2 linked regions of the Anolis sagrei genome follow. The protein of the gene in region 1 purifies or fractionates together with the protein of each later gene. This does not show direct contact. Links are inferred from orthologs where the notes say so. Each region holds a gene or a part of one and is shown on either strand. Other genes may lie near its edges. The genes, in order: RSU1 and PARVA.

Evidence for each region.
Region 2: the proteins of RSU1 (region 1) and PARVA purify together in Homo sapiens (affinity purification with mass spectrometry; 3 studies listed by BioGRID and IntAct, counting the BioPlex papers as one, with this or other methods). This does not show direct contact. The link is inferred for Anolis sagrei from reciprocal best matches to the Homo sapiens genes RSU1 and PARVA.

The regions. Positions count from the first base shown.
Region 1 is NC_090026.1:105,609,984-105,621,319, reverse strand, and holds the start of RSU1 (ras suppressor protein 1), read left to right. Parts: upstream 1-6,157; 5' UTR 6,158-6,309; intron 6,310-10,071; 5' UTR 10,072-10,079; coding exon 10,080-10,188; intron 10,189-11,336. UniProt on the Homo sapiens protein: Potentially plays a role in the Ras signal transduction pathway. Capable of suppressing v-Ras transformation in vitro.
Region 2 is NC_090021.1:254,326,846-254,337,796, reverse strand, and holds the start of PARVA (alpha-parvin), read right to left. Parts: upstream 5,039-10,951; 5' UTR 4,854-5,038; coding exon 4,718-4,853; intron 1-4,717. UniProt on the Homo sapiens protein: Plays a role in sarcomere organization and in smooth muscle cell contraction. Required for normal development of the embryonic cardiovascular system, and for normal septation of the heart outflow tract.

The sequences.
Region 1 (11,336 bases):
TTTTTGTCGCAGGCAGATGGTATTTGTGGCACAAGTTCCAATGAATCATCTGAGCAAAGGTATTATGCCTCTGTTTGTAGTCCCTCTGCGCAATTTTCTTGCAGAAGCTGAGTATGTGATCCATCATTTCACCTGCTTCTTTGCAGAGTCTACACTTGGAATCTGTAGGGTCAACTTTTCAATTCTGGCTTTGATGGCATTGGTTCTAATGGCTTGGTGTGCAACAATTAGGCCCTCCATCTCCTTTTTCAAAGTTCCTTTTGTGAGCGACATCCATGTTTTTTCCTTGTCAATTTTACTCTCAGTTTTCCCCAGGAACTGTCCACTGAAATGTTTCTTTTGCCAATTTTCTCTTCTGCTCTATCATCATCATCATTGTCGTCATCATCATCATCATCATCATCATCATCATCATCTGCTACCTGCCTCTCCTCACAGCTTGCAGTTAAAACATACCACCGTTTTGTGTGTATGTGTATGTATGTATATTTTGTTGTTTATTCGTTCAGTTGCTTCCAACTCTTTGTGACCCCATGGACCAGCCCATACTAAAGCTTCCTTCAAGGTTGAGCCAGTCACTTTAAGAATACCATCCATCCATCTTGCACTGGGTTGGGCCCACTTCCTTTTTCTTTCCATTTTCCCCAGCATAATTATCTTTTCCAAGCTTTCTTGTCATCCTATTATGTGGCAAAGTACTTCATCTTTGCCTCTAATACTTTTCCTTCCATTGAGCAGCTGGGCTTTATTTCCTGGAGTATGGACTGGATTGATCTTATTGCGGTCCAAGGCACTCTCAGAATTTTCCTCCAGCACAGTTCAAAAGCGTCTATCTTCTTTCACTCAGTCTTCCTTATGGTCCAGCTCTCACATCCATTGATTACTACAGGGAATACCACTGCTTAAACTATTCAGATCTATGTATGTGTGTATATATATTACAGAGCCCCTGGGGGTGCAGTGGGTTAAAGCGCTGAGCTTGTTGACCTAAAGGTCACAGGTTCAAATCCGGGGAGCGGCATGAACTTCCGCTGTTAGCCATAGCTTCTGCCAACCTAGCAGTTCCAAAACATGCAAATGTGAGTAGATCAACAGGTACCGCTCCGGCGGGAAGGTAACGGCGCTCCATGCAGTCATGCTGGCCACATGACCTTGGAGGTGTCTATGGGCAATGCCGGCTCTTTGGCTTAAAAATGGAGATGAGCACCACACCCCAGAGTCTTTTAAACAGAGGCTGGATGGCCATCTGTCAGGGGTGATTTGAATGCAATATTACTGCTTCTTGGCAGGGGGTTGGACTGGATGACCCACGAGGTCTCTTCCAACTCTTTGATTCTATGATTCTATGATTCTATGATTCTATGATTCTATGATTCTATGAGTCAGACACGACTGGACTTCATAGAATAGAATCAAAGAGTTGGAAGAGACCTCATGGGCCATCCAGTCCAACCCCCTTCCAAGAAGCAGGAATATTGCATTCAAATCACCCCTGACAAATGGCCATCCAGCCTCTGCTTAAAAGCTTCCAAAGAAGGAGCCTCCACCACACTCCGGGGCAGAGAGTTCCACTGCTGAACGGCTCTCACAGTCAGGAAGTTCTTCCTAATGTTCAGATGGAATCTCCTCTCTTGTAGTTTGAAGCCATTGTTCCGCGTCCTAGTCTCCAAGGAAGCAGAAAACAAGCTTGCTCCCTCCTCCCTGTGGCTTCCTCTCACATATTTATACATGGCTATCATATCTCCTCTCAGCCTTCTCTTCTTCAGGCTAAACATGCCCAGCTCCCCAAGCCGCTCCTCATAGGGCTTGTTCTCCAGACCCTTGATCATTTTAGTCGCCCTCCTCTGGACACATTCCAGCTTGTCAATATCTCTCTTGAATTGTGGTGCCTAGAATTGGACACAATATTCCAGATGTGGTCTAACCAAAGCAGAATAGAGGGGTAGCATTACTTCCTTCGATCTAGACACTATGCTCCTATTGATGCAGGCCAAAATCCCATTGGCTTTTTTTGCCGCCACATCACATTGTTGGCTCATGTTTAACTTGTTGTCCACGAGGACTCCAATATCTTTTTCACACGTACTGCTCTCGAGCCAGGCGTCACCCATTCTGTATCTTTGCATTTCATTTTTTCTGCCAAAGTGGAGTATCTTGCATTTGTCACTGTTGAACTTCATTTTGTTAGTTTTGGCCCATCTCTCTAATCTGTCAAGATCGTTTTGAATCCTGCTCCTGTCCTCTGGACTATTGGCTATCCCTCCCAATTTGGTGTCGTCTGCAAACTTGATGATCATGCCTTCTAGCCCTTCATCTAAGTCATTAATAAAGATGTTGAACAGGACCGGGCCCAGGACGGAACCCTGCGGCACTCCACTTGTCACTTCTTTCCAAGATGAAGAGGAAGCATTAGTGAGCACTCTCTGTGTTCGTCCACTTAACCAATTACAGATCCACCTCACCGTAGTTTTGCCTAGCCCACATTGGACTAGTTTCCTTGCCAGAAGGTCATGGGGGACCTTGTCGAAGGCCTTACTGAAATCCAGGTACGCTACATCCACGGCATTCCCCGCATCTACCCAGCTTGTAGCTCTATCGAAGAAAGAGATCAGATTAGTCTGGCATGACTTGTTTTTGATAAATCCATGTTGACTATTAGCGATGACTGCATTTGTTTCTAAGTGTTTGCAGACCGCTTCCTTAACAATCTTTTCCAGAATCTTGCCCGGTATCGACGTGAGGCTGACCGGACGGTAGTTGTTTGGGTCGTCCTTTTTTCCCTTCTTGAAGATTGGGACCACATTGGCCCTCCTCCAATCTGCTGGAACTTCTCCCGTTCTCCAAGAACTCTCAAAGATGGTTGCCAATGGTTCCGAAATGACTTCCGCTAGTTCCTTCAGTACTCTTGGGTGTAGTTGATCTGGCCCTGGGGACTTGAACTCATTAAGAGCGGCCAGGTATTCCTGGACGAATTCTTTCCCAATTTGGGGTTGGATGTCCTCCAATCCCTCATCCACTCCATCTTGCTGAGGTTGAAGACTCTCTTTTTGTGAGAAGACCGAGGCAAAGAAGGCATTAAGTAGTTCTGCCTTTTCCCTATCCCCTGTCAGCATTGCCCCATCTTCTCCTCAAAGAGGTCCTATCGCCTCCTTGTTTTTCCTTTTTCTACTGACATAAGAATAGAAGGCCTTTTTATTGTTTTTAATGTCCCTGGCAAGTCTGAGCTCGTTTTTTGCTTTAGCCTTGCGGACCTTTTCCCTACAGCTGTTGGCTATTTGTTTGAATTCTTCTTCTTCTTCTTCTTCATGAATTCTTTCATGTCAGGGGAAAACCTTTACCTTACTATATATATTACATTCTATAAAACACATACATTAAAATACATGGTACAAAGTTTAAAATGCCATAGTAATATAGGATAAATGTAAAAATCATAGTTTAAAAATGATTGGGTAGGCCTGCCAGAAGAAAAGGTTCATATTCCACCAGTTTACTTTCAGTAGTCAACAATATGCTTTAAATCAGGGGTCATCATACTTTTTAAACAGAGGGCCAGGTCAAAGTCACTCAAACTGTTGGAGGGCCGGATTAAAATTTGGGAAAAAAATGAATGAATTCCTATGCACACTGCACATATCTTATTTGTAGTGTAAAAACACTTAAAAACAATACAATAATTGAAATGAATAACAATTTTAACAAATATAAACGTATTAATATTTTAACGGGAAGTGTGGGCCTGCTTTTGGCTGATGAGATAAGATTGTTGTTGTTGTGTGCTTTCAAGTAGTTTCAGACTTAGGTTGACCCTGAGCGAGGGCCGGGTAAATTGTTACATCCCGAACAGATTACTGCAACGTGCTCTATGTGGGGTTGCCTTTGAAAGCTGTTCGGAAACTTCAGCTAGTCCAATGGGCGGCAGCTAGATTAATCAACAGAGCGTCATACAGGGAACATACCACCCCTCTGTTATGTCAGCTCCACTGGCTGCCGATCCAGTTCCGAGCACAATTCAAAGTGCTGGTTTTGACCTATAAAACCCTATACGGCTCCGGCCCAGAGTACCTGTCCGAACGTATCTCCTTTTATGTCCCACCTCGGAGTTTAAGATCTTCTGGGGAGGCCCTGCTCTCGGCCCCGCCTCTATCACAAGTGAGACTGGTGGGGACGAGGGACAGGGCCTTCTCAGTGGTGGCCCCTCGCTTGTGGAATTCACTCCCTGGGGAAATTAGGTCATCAACATCCCTCCTCTCCTTCAGAAGGAGGCTGAAAACATGGATATGGGACCAGGCCTTTGGGTAATCTGACAGACTGATAAGGTAATGACAACCAGAATTTGGAAAGGGCTATGGTAATGCTGAATGGACTTACGGATTTTAGAACTCGGTGAACGTTGACCACTAGATTGTCTTTTTAGTTGTTATTGTATTAATTGATTGTTTTTAACTATTGTGGCTATTGCTGTTATGTATTTTATCTGTTGAATTGTTGGCATCGAATTGTGCCGGTTGTAAGCCACCCTGAGTCCCCCCAGGGGTTGAGAAGGGCGGGGTAGAAGTGCCCGAAATAAATAAATAATAATAATAAATAAATTACCTTGGAGGGCCAGATCTGGCCCCCAGGCCTTAGTTTGAGGATCCCTGCTTTAAATAATATTACCTCCCATTGTCCTGGCATCACTCTATCCGAACATTTCAGTATTCTGGAGGATGAACGAAGGATGCAGGAGGAGGAGGAGGCAGAAGAATGAACGAAGGCAATAAACTGGTTTCCATTACCCTCCTTGTTGTTGTTCATTCGTTCAGTTGTCTCCGACTCTTCGTGACCTCATGGACCAGCCCACGCCAGAGCTCCCTGTCAGCCGTCACCACCCCCAGCTCCTTCAAGGTCAGTCCAGTCACTTCAAGGATGCCATCCATCCATCTTGGCCTTGGTCGGCCCCTCTTCCTTTTACCTTCCACTTTCCCCAGCATAATTGTCTTCTTTAGGCTTTCATGTCTCCTCATGATGTGGCCAAAGTACTTCAACTTTGTCTCTAGTATCCTTCCCTCCAATGAGCAGTTGGGCTTTATTTCCTGGAGGATGGACTGGTTGGATCTTCTCGCTGTCCAAGGCACTCTCAGAACTTTCCTCCAACACCACAGCTCAAAAGCATCGATCTTCCTTCGCTCAGCCTTCCCTAAGGTCCAGCTCTCACATCCGTAGGTGACTACAGGGAATACCATGGCTTTGACTAGGCGGATCTTTGTTGCCAGTCTGATGTCTCTACTCTTTACTATTTTATCGAGACTGGACATTGCTCTCCTCCCAAGACGTAAGCGTCTTCTGATTTCCTGGCCACAGTCTGCATCTGCAGTAATCTTTGCACCTAGAAATACAAAGTCTGTCACGGCCTCCACATTTTCTCCCTCTATTTTCCAGTTGTCAATCATTCTTGTTGCTATAATCTTGGTTTTTTTATGTTTAGCTGCAACCCAGCTTTTGCGCTTTCTTCTTTCACCTTGATTAGAAGGCTCCTCAGCTCCTCCTCGCTTTCGGCCATCAGAGTGGTGTCATCTGCATATCTGAGGTTGTTAATGTTTCTTCCAGCAATTTTCACCCCAGCCTTGCATTCATCAAGCCCCGCACATCACATGATGTGTTCTGCATACAAGTTAAAAAGGTTGGGTGAGAGGATGCAGCCTTGCCTTACGCCTACCATGCCCTTATCTAATACCTTATGACAGTGGCATCATTGCAGAATCATGACCCTGGGCTAACTTCCTCTTTATGTTATAATGGGCTGATAGAAATGAGAAGCGTGTGCCCTTTTATTTCATTACTGGCCTCAACTTTGCTGCAACCATTTCATCAAACTGTAACTCTCGCGATTCCTTAGTCCTGAGCCATGGCAATTAAAGCGGTGTCAAAGTGTAGCCATTCCACAATGTTGTTGCACTCCCCGGCACAACTTTGCCTTCACTTCCTTCCCTTGAGCTGCTGAATTGTATCCTCGACTTTCCCGAATCCCATTGGCTAGCTCTTGAGGCGTCTCGACCAATAGCCGCCGGGCAAAGGTGGAGATTCCTCTCGGATTGGTTGGCCGCGGGCTGCACATTCCAAACTGTGGGCGGGGCCGGGGCTGCCCCGAGCGCTGCTTCTCCTTACTTGGAGCGAAGGAGAGGGTCGGGTGTCTGGGGTTGGGACTGCGCCTGCGCACTGGGAGGAGGCAGCAGCGTAACAGGGCGGGGGCTTCGGAAAAGAGCCTGGAGTGGACCTGACCGCCTCGACCGAGATCCAGCGCCCCGGTCCCTTCCCTTCCTACAGAGGGTGAGTTCCTTGGAGATGCTTCAGAGCAGATGGCTCGCCTTCCTCGATCTGGCCGGGGAGGGGGCAGAGGGTCATCCTCTCTTCCTTCCCTGCAATTCTAGCTTCCTCTGAGGCTGAGACAGTGTGACCTGTATCTGTACTGGAGAATTAATGCAGATTGACACCGTTTTAACCTCAAACGTTCACTGTTATGGAATCTCGGGAGATGTAGTTTTAGAAGGGCTTTAGCCTTCTCTACCAAATGCCCTGATGCGCCCCCAACTCCCAGGATTGCATAGCGTTGAGCCCATGGCACTTAAAAGTGGTGTCAAGCTGCATTAGTTCTACAAGGGTCTGATCAAGGGTCTGGAGAACAAGCCCTATGAGGAGCGGCTTAAAGAGCTGGGCATGTTTAGCCCAAAGAAGAGAAGGCTGAGAGGAGACATGATAGCCATGTATAAATATGTGAGAAGAAGTCACAGGGAGGAGAGAGCAAGCTTGGAGACTAGGATGCGGAACAATGGCTTCAAACTACAAGAAAGGAGATTCCATCTAAACATGAGGAAGAACTTCCTGACTGTGAGAGCCATTCAGCAATGGAATTCTCTGCCCCAGAGTGTGGTGGAGGCTCCTTCTTTGGAACTTAGCCTAGGGTCATGATAGGATGGCCAACTGTCAGGGGTGCTTTGAATGCAATATTCCTGCTCCTTGGCAGGGGGTTGGACTGGATGGCCCATGAGGTCTCTTCCGACTCTATGACTCTATGACTGTAGATACACCCCTAGCCCTGAAAAAAAATAGTGGCCCATTGAGAGCAATGTGACAACTGATTTAGCATCCCTTATCCAGAATTCCAAAACTCGCCCAAATCCAAAATTATCTACATCCCTGGTAGCAGAGAGAGTGACACCTCTGCATTCTGATGGTTCAGTGGACACAAACTTTGTTTCATGCTCAAAATTATTAAAAGCACTGTGTGTAAAGTTACCTGGATGAAGGATGCATGGCAAGCACCAGGACTGTGGCGCAGCTGGCTGGGAGTCAGCTGCATTAAGATCACCACTGACCTAAAGGTCTTGAGTTTTAAGCCAACCCAGGTCAGAGTAAGCTTCCAACCAGTTTGTGTAGCTTGATGTCGACCTTTGCAGCCCGAAAGACAGTTGCATCTGTCAAGTAGGAAATTTAGGTACCGCTTATACGGGGAGGCTTCACTCTGGAATACTCTGCCAGGACCTATCAGCTTTCCACAGGGCGTGTAAGACATATCTGTTTCGACAGGCCTTTGATCTCTGATATTGTTGTTTTAAATTGTTTTTAAATTGTTTTAAATTGTTTTTAAATTGTGTTAGATTTTAGCCTGTTCTTGTAAGCCGCTCTGAGCCCCAGGGGAGTGGCGGCATATAAGTTTGATTTAGAAATAAATGAATAAATAAATAAATAAAATATACGATGCCTTAAAAATCTCCAGCGAGCATGCAAAGAATGAGGAAGTACTTCATCAATGTCACAAATGGACGGTGAAGCGACAGCTCCCCTGGTGGCCAGAATATCCTCATCAAAAAGCTGGAATGTTAAATAGCCTCAATGTGTCTGTGTATATATGTTGTGAGTCTATGGCATTGAATGTTTGCCATGTATATGTACATTGTAATCTGCCCTGAGTCCCCTGCACGGTGAGAAGGGCAGAATATAAACACTATAATAAATAAATAAATAAATAAGCATCAATTAATTTCCTGTTAAGACTGGGGACCTTTCTCCAAGATCTCTCTCTATGTGTATCCAAATAATCTGTTACCAAAGGCTTTCGTGGCCAAAATCACTGGGTTGCTGTGAGTTTCTCCAGGCTGTATGGCCATGTTCCAGAAGCATTCTCTCCTGACGTTTCACCCCCATCTATAGCAGGCATCCTCAGAGGTATGGAGCCCCCGGTGGCGCTGTGGGTTAAACCCCTGTGCTGGCAGGACTGAAGACCGACAGGTCGCAGGTTCGAATCTGGGGAGAGGCAGATGAGCTCCCTCTATCAGCTCCAGCTCCTCATGCGAGGACATGAGAGAAGCCTCCCAAAAGGATGATAAAAACATCAAATCATCTGGGCGTCCCCTGGGCAATGTCCTTGCAGACGGCCAATTCTCTCACACCAGAAGCGACTTGCAGTTTCTCAAGTCGCTCCTGACACGACAAAAAAAAATCCTCCGAGGTTGTGAGATCTGTTGGAAACAAGGCAAGGGGAGTTTATATATCTGTGGAATGTCCAGGGTGGGAGAAAGAACTCTTGTCTGTTTGAGGCAAGTGTGAATGTTGCAATTGGTCGCCTTGATTAGCATTTAATGGCCTTGCAGCTTCAAAGCCAAAGCAAAAGGATCCCTCCAGGCAGCAACCAGCCAGGCATGGCCATTCAGTGCTAATCAAAGTGGCCAGTTGCAACATTCACAACAACAACAACAACAACAACTTTATTTTTGTATCCCACCTCCATCTCCCCGAAAGGACTTGGAGCGGCTTACATGGGGACAAGCCTGAGCAACATAGTTAAAATATAACACATTAAAACACTTGTCAGGCACCCTGGACATTCCTCAGATATATAAACCTCGCTTGCCAGAGCTGATGTACTTATTAATTGTGGGTCTGCTCCCCATGCGCTGCCAGTAAGTTTCTGCAGGATGTTATTGTGTGCAGCTGCTTTGTGCTTGGTGACAAAGGATAAAAAGATAAACTGAATAATTGTCGTAAATTAGTCTTAAGTATACTCCTAGACATAAATTAATGTATATACATCTCTCTGTCCATATGTTGTATCATAGTAGTTCAACAGGACCTGATAGTCCCTGCATGAAGAGCAAGGAATCACTTCTAAAGTATTGACACTTTCCATCCAGAGCTGAGGGGCAAATTGTTGTAATATCTTCTTTCTCCGGAGAACAATCTTCATCCAGATTTGATGGGTTCCAGGATCCAGGTGCCATTCCAAAGCATTTGGAAAATGGATTTCCAAAGGTTATATAATGCACAAACAAACAAAAGCAATCAAAATGCATGAGCAAGACCTACCTCCAGAACTATGGGTGCATCTACATCAGGCATGGGTAAACTTCAGCCCTCCAGGTGTTTTGGACCTCAACTCCCATAATTCCTAACAGCCGGAGGGTCCAGGTTTGCCCATGCCTGATCTACACTGTAGAATTAATACAATCTGATGTCACTTTATCTGTCACAGATCAATGCTGTGGAATAATGGGAGTTGCAGTTTGATGAGGCACCAACACTCTTTGGTAAAGAAGGTTAAAGACCTTGTAAAACTATAACTTCCAGGATTGCATAGCACTGAACTATGGCAATTAAAGTGGTGCCAATGCATTCATTCTTCAATATAGATGTCATCAGATTAGCAACAGAGGAAAATCCACGTCCCTGTTCTATTCTCAGCCTTCATGTTTCCCAAAACCCATCTTCTTGGTAGAAGAGGACCAGCTAACAGCATCATTTTAGAAGATAGCTCACTGCAAAATATTTTGAACAAGCTCCTAATTGGGAGACACAATTTCACATCAAGATGGCCTATCTTCTACCATAAAATGAAGAATCACAACATGCAGGCATTGTGTTTTTTCATGACCTTTATGCCTTTTCTGTCACATTGAGATCACTGGAGTGAGCAAGTTCTCCCCCTCCAATTGATTTCATTTGAGATTGGCTTATCTGATACAGTAAAAGAAATGTCCTTTCAGCTTTATGTATCTTTTCTTGACCTGCTGCAATATACCTCTGTTCTTTTTGCAGCTTCCATCATGTCCAAATCCTTGAAAAAAATTGTGGAGGAGAGTCGGGAGAAGAACATCTTGGAAGTCGACATGTGCGACCGGGGAATCTCTAACATGCTAGACATACCTGGTTTGTGTAAGTATTTCTCGGCTCTGCTTTAATGCTTTTGCATTTCTGCAACAGCAACCTTGCTTCTGTAGACAACTGGTTATTAAAAGGAACTTGTTGTTATGTGTGACTTCAAGTCATTTCTGACTTATGGTGACCATAAGGTGACCTTATCATGGGACTTTCTGAGGATGAGAGTGTGTGAGTCACCAAGAGCTGCTTTGAATCTCCTTTGGGAGAGAAGAAGCAGAATATAGATGATGATGATGATGATGATGATGATTATTATTATTATTATTAAGAAGAAGAATAAAAGTAAAAGTTTCCCCTTGGCATTAAGTCTAGTCGTGTCTGACTCTGTGGGGGTTGGTGCTCATCTCCATTTCTAAGCCAAAGAGCTGGCATTGTCCAAAGACGCCTCCTAGTCACATGGCCGGCATGACTACATGAAGTGCCGTTACCTTCCTGCAGAAGCAGTACCTATTGATCTACTCACATTTGCATGTTTTCAAACTGCTAGGTTGACAGAAGCTGGGGCTAACAGCAGGAGCTCACCCCGCTCTCTGGATTTGAACCACCACCCTTTCAGTCAGCAAGTTTAGCAGCTCAGCGGTTTAATCCCTGCGCCAACAGGGGCCCTAATAATAATCATAACAATAACACTAACAATAATAATAACACCCCAGTCTCTAAAACTGTGGTCAAACACTCAAACCACTATACTATTTTGGCTAATCAAAAGGAATTGGTAGTTCCTATAGGAACCTAGCAGTTAAAACTTCTAATTAAAATTTCAAATCATTCTCCAGATACAATAGTTTGAGTATAAGAGATTGAGAAGAATTTTGGAAGAATATTGTTTTGTTTTGTTTACTTTTTTTCTTGGACACACAGGTGACAGGTGGGTTCCTAATGGCCAAGCGTATGAGCTGGAATGTCCTGGAATGAAATGCCTTTTTCCACCCCATGTTCTGCTTGCAGTATGGGAATATTAATAATTTCAATACTGACCCATGATGCTGTGGAGTTGTAGTAATTGTTGAGACGAAGAATTCAGTGGCTAGTTCTCTGGATGGTTTTCTCCACGATTATACAGAAAGTGCCTTTGACCAATAGGTGCTGGAGAGCTTTGGCAGTAGGAGATTGTTTCTCTTGGCCTAAATCTAATTAGTTGA
Region 2 (10,951 bases), on another chromosome or scaffold:
AACATCCCCACAGTTAAAAATAACCACAAAAAACATTTTTCTTAGGCCAGCTTACATATACTGTCTGTGCATATATATATATATATATATATATATATATATATATGTATGTGTGTGTGTGTGTGTGTACACACACACGCGCACACACACGCACACACAACAACAAAACTCTATACTAATTTACTTCTTAAACCTTCTAATATACATGCAATCTAACCAGAGCTTTCATCACTGCTACTCAATGACAGTGGCACTTTGAACTATGTTGTTTCACACACACACACTCAACAGGTAGGCACCATTGTTTTTGTTGCCGCTTGTTTTTCATAGTTGCTGATTTTAAAAAATTAGTTTCAATATTGTGTTATAGTCTGGTATGGCAGAAGGTTGATGTAGGTGATACTAATCCTCGGGATGCCACTGGCATGCAAGGCATAGTGCAGATGATTTACAGACTATTCCAGCTATGTTATGATTCATGATTCTCTGCAGGGATATCAGTGGAATGGGATGGGAAATCAGGCACAGGAGCAGAATAGATATGCAGCAAGGTATGGTATGGAAGGATGTGCATGGAGATGACACTATGACTTGCCACAGTGGGTGAAATCAACCCTAGGGATGCCACTAGCATGCAAGGTGATATTCAGATGAGTTGCATACTATTCCAGCTATGCTAAAATCTGTGAATCTCTGCAGTTATATCAGTGGGATGGGATGGGATGGGATGGAAAATCAAGGATAGGAGAACACATACGCAACAAGGCCTTATAGGGGAGGAGGCCCATGGAGATGACACCATGAGATACAGCACTGGGTAAAATCAATTGATGTCACTAGCATGCAATGTGATGTACAGATGACTTGCACAATATTCCAGCTATGCTAAAATGTGTCAGTTTCTGCAGGGATATCAGTGGGATGGGAAATTGGGGACAGGAGCACAACATAGTATGCTATGGGAGCAAGTCCATGGAGATGATACCATGAGTTATTGCATTAGGTGAAACCAATCCTAAGGATGCTAGCATGAAATACAATGTACAGATTGGTTTAATACTATTTCAGCTAGGCTAAAATCAGCGGGTTTCTGCAGATATAGCAGTGGGATGAGAGAGAAGAACAGGTAGGCAGCATGGTCTGGTAGGGGAGGAAGTAACATCATGATTACCTCACTAGGTGAACCCAACCATAGGGGTATCACTAATATGCAGGGTGAGTAGATCAATAGGTACCTATCTGGCAGGAAGGTAAGGCACTCCATGCAGTCATGCCAGCCACATAACCTTGAAGGTGTCTGCAGACAACACCATCCCCCAGAATCAGACATGACTGGACTTAATGTCAGGGGGAAACCAATCCCACACTATCCCAGCTATGCTAAAATTCCTGTGTCTCTGCGGGGATATAACTGGAATGGGATGGGATGAGAACCTGGGGGCTGTTGCTGAATAGATATGTGATACAGTCTGGTACAGGAAGATGTTCATAGAGATGCCATGAACCCAACTCTCGGTCCCACCACCTTCTCAAGCGTGGTTGGTGGGGATGAAAGAGATGGCCTTCTCTGTAGTGGCTCCCCAGCTCTGGAATACCCTCTCAAAAGAGATTAGATTAGCCCCCACCCTTGACTCCTTCCAATCCAACCAAAAAGCATGGATTTTTAAACAGGCTTTTGGCCTAGAGTAGACTGAAATGGACCCATATGAGGTTGATACACTGGCACTTTAGTTGTGAATTGATGGCAGCTAGTTTTAACTAGATGGTCTGCATTTTTAAATTGTGTTATTTTATTTTATATGTTGATAGCAGTTGTTTCGTAACTTTATATTGTTTTATACTTATGTACCATTTATGTTATATTGCACTTGGAGTCCCTTGTAGGCCACCTCGAGTCCCTTTTGGGAGATGGTGGTAGGATATAAATAAAGATGATGATGATGATTGGCTACAAGCAGGGTTGTAGCCAAGGGGGGAGGGGATTTAACACCTCCCTCCTGAATTTTTTCAGGTTAATAAACACTAGTTTACTCATGAATTTTAACTGGTTAACCAAATCCCCATGCTAAGTCTATAAGAAGCAAGAATTAAATGAGCCCCTCCAATCCTGTCCGATTCTTGGGGGTGGTGCTCATCTCCATTTCTAAGCCAAAGTGTCTGCGTTGTCCATAGACACCTCCAAGGTTATGTGGCTGGCATGATTGCATGGAGAACAGTTACCTTCCCGCCAGAGCAGTACCCATTGACATACTTGATCTACATATTTGCATGTTTTCGAACTACTAGGTTGACAGAAGCTGGTACTAACAGCAGGAGCTCACCCCGCTCCCCGAATTCGAACAGCGACCTTTCGGTCATCAAGTTCAGCAGCTTAGTGACTTAACTCACTGTCCCACCCGAGGCTCAGAGGGCAATGAGCTGCATAGTATTCCAGCTATGATAAAATTAACAGGATATCAGTGGTGTGGCAGAGGATGAAGAATCTGGGCCAGGAGCAGAAGAGATATGCACCAGCTTTAGTGACACCACTGACCCCAAATGAAGACCTTTTCTCAAGCACGGTTGGTGGGAACAAGGGAGAGGGCCTTCTTGGTGGTGACCCAGGATTCAACCAGGATTGCCCTCCAACATTGAGGGAGGGGGGTGATAGTATGATAGCTGAGTCTGGAAGCTCTGAGCGGTACAGAGATGCCGCAAAGGAGGCTGTGAATAAGGGTAGAGAGGGGGCGGAGTGAGAGCAGGAAGAGCGAAGGGAGGATAGAAAGGAGGGGACGCTTAGGGTAGGGTTTGGGGCAAGGTTTAGGGTTTGGGTTACAGTTAGGGGTTACGGTTAGGGTGCGGTTTAGGGTTAGGGTAAGGTTTAGGGTAAGGTTTAGGGTTTGGGTAAGTGTTAGGGCAAGGTTTAGGGCAGGGGTCCTCAAACTAAGGCCTGGGGGCCAGATATGGCACTCCAATGTGACTTACCCAGCCCTCGCTCAGGGTCAACCTAAGTCTGAAACAACATGAAAGCACAAAACAACAACAACAACCCTATCTCATTAGCCAAAAGCAGGCCCATACTTCCCATTGAAATACTAATAAGTTTATCTTTGCTAAAATTGTTCTTCATTTTAATTATTGTATTGGTTTTGAGTGGCTTTTTGCACTACAGATATGTGCAGTGTGCATAGGAATCCATTCTTGTTTTTTTTTTAAAAAAAAAATATAACCTGCCCTTTGAGGGACTGTGACCTGGCCCTCAAACCTGGCTCTCTGTTTAAAAAGTTTGTGGACTCCTGGTTTAGGGTTTGGGTTATGGTAAGGATTAGGGGTTAGTTAGGGTTAGGGTAAGGTTTAGGGTTGGGTTTGAGTTGACGTAAAGGTAAGGGTAAGGGTTAGGGTAAGGTTTAGGGTTTGGGTTAGGGTAAGGGGTTAGGTTTAGGCTTACGGCAGGGTTCAGGGTAAGGATTAGGGGTAGGGTAAGGGTTTCACCTTAAAAGAACTCTTACATTCCTTCTATATTATCTGTCTCCGGCCTGGCTTCACAACTAAAGTGCCAGTCTCTCTTGTGCAAACAGTGCTCCCAAAGAAGCAATGTGGGATCTCAGTAATGCCCGGAGTTTCTAGGGTAATAGTATGAAAGCTGGGTCCGGAAGCTCTGAGCCTTATGCTCTTTCCACTTTGCTCCTATGGGAGCGCTGTTTGCGTAACGCAGAACGGAACACAGATATTATAGAAGGAATGTAAGAATTCTTTAACGGTAAAAACCTAAGCCAGTGGTTCTCAACCTGGGGTCCCCAGATGTTTTGGGTCTACAACTCCCAGAAATCCTGGGAGTTGAAAGCCAAAAACATCTGGGGACCCCAGGTTGAGAACCACTCCTTACCCGAACCCTAAACCTAACACTACTCCTAACCCAAACCATAATCCTAATATTAACCCAAACCCTAAACCTAACCCCTAAACCTAATTTTAATCCTAACCCTAACCCTTACCCTACCCGAACCCTAAACCTTACCCTAAACTTTATCCTAACCCTCCCTTCCTTTCTGTCCTTCCACCAAATTGAAGTACATTCCCGCCCTTATTCACAACCGCCCTTGCGGAATGTGCGTAATGCTTGGAGCTTCCGGACCCAGCTATCATGCTCTCACCGTTTCCAGACCCAGCTATCATACTATTGGCCCCCCTCTCCGTGGGCCTCCCAGCTGGTCCCCAAGAAGGCCAGGGCAGGAAGGACCAAGGCGCCGGCGGGAGATGGGCCAACCCAAGCCTCACAGTCTGGCGGGGGAGGAGAGGGGGTGGAGCAGGGGCGGGGAGGCTGCCTCTGGGGCCGGGGAGGAGCGGCCGCTTCCTGCGCTCCGCAGGCCAAAGCAGCAGCAGCAGCAGCAGCAGCAGAGGAGGGAGGGAAGCGCGCCTCGCGGCAGCCCTGGCCCCTCCCTCGCCCGCTCCAGGCTACATTTTTCGCGAGTGACGCGGGCAAAGCGGCGCACCCAGGCGGCCTCCCTTCGCGCGCCCCCCCCCCCCTCCTTCCCGGATCCCCAGCCTGGAGGGCAGCGCGGAGCAACAGGGCCCTTCCTCCCTCCCTCCCTCCCTCCCTGCCTGCCTGCTTCCACCTCCCCGCCTCTGCTCCCTTCAAGGCGCCCTGGCACAGCAGCTTGCGTGGCAACCCCGGGGCAAGACCGATTGGCTTCTCCTCCCCCTCCCTCCCTCCGTCCTTTCCACCCCCTTTGCTCACCTTCCTTGGCTTTCTTCCTCCTGGCCAGCGTGCCCCCGAGTTTCCCCAAGAAGGAGTCGTCTTTCTTCCGGGAGGGGGGCGACTTGGGGGTGGGGGATTTCGGGGACGAGGGCGACTTCTGCGGGGAGGTGGCCATGGCGGGGAGGGAGGGAGGGAGGGGGCGGCGGCGGCGGAGGCGCCCCGAGCGGGAAAGAGAAAGAGAGGAGGCACCCGGGCTTCCCTCCCTCGCAGCCTCCCGGTCCCGATTCCCGACGGAAGCGGAATTATTCGAAACGTTTGAGGCTGCTCTTGCTCTCTTTCCCTCCCTTCCTCCCTCCCGCCTCCCTTCTTCCTCTCTCCCTCCTTCTCTCTCTCTCTCTCTCTCTCTTTCTCCACCCAAAGAAGGAGTCGCTGCCTCGCCTTCCTCGCTGCCTGGAGGGGACTCCCAGGAGCCACGATGGAGTTTGGAAAAGCCCGCCCCCCAGCAGCTGATTCCCCCCCCTCCCAACCATCACCTCCCATTCTTTCGCCCCAGAAGGACAAGTCCCTACAGGTTGGAAACCCTTTCTCCCAAGTGCTTGGGGCCAGGCGTTTCAGATTTTTCCAGGTTTTCATAGAATCCTAGAGTTGGAAGAGATCTTGTGGGCCATCCAGTCCAACCCCCTGCCAAGAAGCAGGAAAATCGCATTCAAAGCACCCCCGACGGCCATCCAGCCTCAGCTTAAAAGCCTCCAAAGAAGGAGCCTCCACCACACTCTGGGGCAGAGAGTTCCACTGCTGAACAGCTCTCACAGTCAGGAAGTTCTTTTGTAATATATATACATCTTGGAAATGGGACCCCCATCTAAACACTTAGTCTGAAGGGAATTTTAGGCAATATTTTTAGTAATTTTCCCATGAAACACATTTTGTGCCCACTAAACCAGCAGAAGAGTAAATTGTCCTTATCTCAGCCACCCATTTTGACAGTTTTGGAGTATTTCAGAAATCCAGGGAAGGAATGTTCAGTCTGTATCTTACTACAAAGGGATCTGGAATGATCGCAGCACTTTTTGGGGAGGGGGGTTACTGGGGAAACACAAACACACATACACACACAGGTTTCAATTTACAGCCATAAACAGACCTCACAACATATTGTTGAAGGCTCTCATGGCTAGAATCACTGGGTTGTTGTGAGTTTTCCTCTTAAGGGTGCCTGTCATAGATGCAGGTGAAACAACAGGAGAGAATGCTTCTGGAACATGGCCATACAGCCCAGAAAACTCACAGCAACCCAGACCTCACAACCTCTGAAGATGCCTACCATAGATGTGGGCAAAACGTCAGGAGATAATGCTTCTGGAACATGGCCATACAGCTTGGAAAACTCACAGCAACCCAGACCTCACAACTTCTGAAGATGCCTGCCATAGATGTGGGCAAAACGGCAGGAGAGAATGCTTCACGGCCATACAACTTGGAAAACTCACAGCAACCCAGTGATTCTGGGATGAAAGCCTTCGACAACACATACTGAGTATCCCTTACCTGAAATGCTTAAGACCAGAAGCAATTTAGATTTTTTTTCCAGATTTTGGAATGTTTGCTTATACATAATGACATCTTTTGGTGATGTGCTCCAAAGTGTTCATGCATACACCCTAAAGGCATAGTCTGAAAATCATTTATACACAATTATTTTAATAATTTTGTGCATGAAATAAAATTTGTCTTTGAACCTCCAGAACGCAAAAGTGTTGCCATTGCAGCAACCCATATGGATGGAGCTGCAGTGGTGCAATGAGTCAAACCCTTGTGCCGGCTAAACTGCTGATCTGAAGGTTGTCGGTTTGAATCTGCGAGGCAGGGTGAGCTCCTATCTGTCATCTCCAGCTTCCCATGAGATAAGCTTCCCACAGGATGGTGACACATCTTGGCATCCCCTGGTCAATGTCCTTGCAGATGGCTCATCCTCTCACACCAGAAGTAACTCCAATTTGCTTCTGACACAATTAAAAAAAAAACCCATATGGACAATTTTGCATGTGTGAGGATTTTGTATTTCTGGGTAAGGAGTGCTTAACCTGTATTTCCTTGGATATATTCCCACTGCCTTTAATGTTGGGCATGAGGGCTGCAATGCATGGTGGAAGTTGATTTTGGATGAAAGATCAGATGCCTCCTGAAAAAGCATATGGGAGGCCGTGAGGAGGAGAGGTTTGATGGCCCCATCACAATTCAAGATAGGACAGGGTCATACAGATTTTAGGACAGTTTTCATTTTTTTTAGTTCTCTTTCTCTGTCTGACCCAATCACACCTTTAGCAATTAATCTCTTTCTTGGTGAAGTGATTTCTCTATTCCAAAAACTTGCATGTTGTTTTGTGCTTTGGGGAGAGATGGTCTGGTAAAGGCATTGCCCTAATATATAGTTTTTCATTTGTCTCACTTGTAGAATTCAGGGGAAAATAATCCTGTCTTCAATTATTATAGACCAGGTAGGGAGTTCCATAGCTAAGTGGCCACCACTGAGAAGGACCTGTCTCTCATCCCCACCACTTGTGCTTGTAATGGGGGTGGGACTGAGAGCAAGGCCTCCCCTGCAGATCTTAACTTTCTAACTGGTTCATAGAGAAAGATACATTCAGACAGGTAAGTTGGACAAGAGCTGTTTAGAGTTTTATAGGCTAAAGCCAGCCCTTTGAATTGGGCTTGGCAGCAGACCCGCAGCCAGTGGAGTTGATGTAACAGGAGGGTTGTATGCTCTCTGTACATCGCTCCAGTGAGCAGCTTGGCTGTCACTTGTTAGATCACCTGGAGCTTCCAAACAGTCTTCAAAGTCAGCCCCATGTAGAGTGCATTGCAGTAGTCTATTGCAGTAGTCTATTCAAGTAGTATTCCTCATTTTTGTTTTGACCTGATATCTCTATCCTGTTTTGGTAAGGTGTTTGTTTTGTCATGCAGTTCATGTAGTTGTCCTCCCTCTTTCTTCCACTGAAGAAGGCCATTTCATTAACATAAGCAATGAACTGCCAGTTTAGCTGCAGTTTTATCATGATGAATACACACCTGCATTTCCATTAAACATTCCAGAATTCTTGGTCAAGTAACTAAAAATTCAGTATGGCCACAGTGTTTTCAGCAAGATATTATCAACATTTTGTTCAATTTTAATACATTTTTAATATTACCAAAGAGATAGCTTACATTGCAATGATGTAGTGACTCACAATACACATACATTATGACGAAAGTGCATCTGTTCAGTACAAATGGAAAACACAGATATTGTAAAGTTTGGCTTGAATTATTACACTATAATTACCCAGTGGTGCAACTTCGCCTAAACTTTGGTTACTGTAGGTATTCCACTTACTGACCAAAATAGAAAAGTGAACCCCAAGAATAAATATGCTAATAAATTACCACTGTATGTAAACACCACACAAAATAAATACATAAACAGCAAAGAGAACCTTCCCCCCAGTGTTGTTTGCAGGAACATTTATATATTTTCCCAATTGGATTTTCAGTTTGTTTTAGGAAATGAGACACAGTGTCATGTAGATTCCTCTCTTCTTTGTCTTCCATTTTACAAAAGGAGATTAAAAACTACTGCTTTCACATGAAGAACAATTCAGCTCTGCTTAAGAACTCAAGAAACAGCAGTTGTTGTGACAAAAGTTGGTTATAACAAACCACAGTTCTCCAAATCCACCCTTAAAGGGAAACATTAAGCTTTTCACCCATAGAAACAAGCTTTTGTTCTCATCTAATGTCTGAAGGTTAAAAAAAGACCAGATATCTTGCAACTCATACACATTTCAACTAAACTAATGAACTGAACTGGGCCTTTTTGGAATTTAGTTCTTCTTTTTGTGTGTCAGCTCCCCAAATCTCCAGTCGGTATGCTCAGCGGCCATACTTGTTGCAATTCCTGGAGTCATAATTCAGAAAGAAAATTCCCAAACTCCGCATTTTACAGAATTAGATTGTTCATTAGTTGTACAAGCTTCTAGTTTATTCTTCATGCTTCAACTAGGACTTGTAATTTGGCTCAAGATGTTTATTTATTTTGCTTTTGCTTAACCAGAGACAGGACATTTTAAGCAGCTTAGATATAGTTATGTAATAGTTAATCTTACTAGTTAGAGTGTGAAATCAAAACAGGTCCCTCAAAAAATATTTTATAAATTAAGTAAAGACATTACCAGATGATTTCAGTTTCTTGAACACAAGGTGATGAACCAAAATTGAAGGATCGACCTTTCCCCATTGGGTTGAAATCCTGCAAACAGTTTAACCTACAGAACATTGAGTGATGGCAACAGTATATCAGTGCCTGTGAATTGTAGTCAAGGTACGAGCCCAGTGCCAACTTCTTGCTCTTAATTTTATTATCTGGCCTTTTATCTTCAGCTGCAGTGTAAATATGGCATATATGTTTGCACAGCCCTTCTAATGAATACTGTTGGTATCATACAAAGCAATGTGGTCAGGATTTTTCCCATTAACACCAAATATCACAATTCAGAATTTTATATACACATAAGGATCATATACTGGTACTATTTATGAAGCAAAAACATATTGTAAAAACTATAATTATCATATATATTTCTGTCAGCATATTATGCTGTCGTCTTTGGTTACAGCAGCACAAGGATCATGTGATCTTTCTACATTTTGCAAAGAATAATCCCTTTGATATTAATACAGTGGTACAAATTGCAAATCTTTACCACTGCATTAAAGCTTCACTAACATCACAGTGCTTTCTAGCTTGTAAATTACATCTGTTAAACACTGAACTGACATGTTTACAGTTATGCATTTATAAAATGCATATATTAATTGTTGTATGTTCTGTCACTACAACAATTAATACTGAATGTGGATGCATTGATATACTGGCAATGCTCCTTTTTAAAAAAAAAAATCCCCATATATGAAATTAACATATGCAAGTCCCATTCTGAAAGGTTATAATCTCAAGGAAGGAGAGATCCAAAGAAATCCCCTAGTTCTCTGACTTTCAAATATATGCAGAATTAAAAATCTAGGAAATGGAAAATGATGAATATCCCACTCGCATTTCCACAGTGAAAGCATACTGGATAAGGCAACACATAGAATCTATCCACTGTTTCTTTATATACATCAATATTAGGAGCTATTTTTATTTACCTTAATAGGAACATCCTTCTGCCCCTTTGCAGTTTCAGTACCAAGTTATTTCATCTACAACTTTAATTAATATCTTGCATTTATAATGTATATCATTCTGAAAGGACAAAAAGTCGCCTGGCAGATAGAGTAGAACCTTCAGAAGATGATTTCTGACATTTTTCAAAATGCTGTTCTTTATCTCTTTTGCTGCTTGTGTTCCTCCAAAGTAGGTGCAAATTTGACTTTCTTCTGCTCCATTTATAATCCCAGCCAACACTGCATATTCATTGGTAGCTTCTTTTCATAAATCTAAAGGCAAAATGGTTAAAATAATTTTTAATTATAGCAAATTTGGGGTGGGAAAAATACAGGCTTCCAAATGTTATTTGACTGGAATTCCCATTACCTCCAGCCACCAGGGCCTAAAGCAGGGGTCCACAAACTTTTTAAACAGAGGGCCAGGTCACAGTCCTCAAACTGTTGGAAGCCGGATTATAATTTGAAAAAAGCATGAATGAATTCCTATGCACACTGCACATATCTTATTTGTAGTGCAAAAAACACTTTAAAACAATACAATAATTAAATTGAACAATTTTAACAAATATTAACTTATTAGCATTTCAATGGGAAGTGTGGGCCTGCTTTTGGATGATGATTTTGGATTGTTGTTGTTGTTGTTGTTGTTGTTGTTGTGTGCTTTCAAGTCATTTCAGACTTAGGTTGACCCTGAGCGAGGGCCGGGTAAATGACGTATCTGGCCCCCGGGCCTTAGTTTGAGGACCCCTGGCCTAAAGCAAGAGATGCTGGAAGCTGCAGTTTAATAATATTTAGAGGGTCACATATTCTACCTTTGCTTGAACTTCTTGTGGGAAAAATGGCTAGTGTGTGCACATGCCTTCAAATCACCTGTCAATTTAACAAGTCTCCATGAATTTTTGAGACTTTTTTTCAATATAAAGTAATATAAAGCTCCAGCCCATGATATCAGAAGGACTGTTTCTCCATCTATGAGTCTACCTTGAATTTGAGAAGTTAGGGGACACATCGAGCAGTACAACAGAGGAAGGAATAGAAATGTTCCTATTTTAGCATACTTATTGT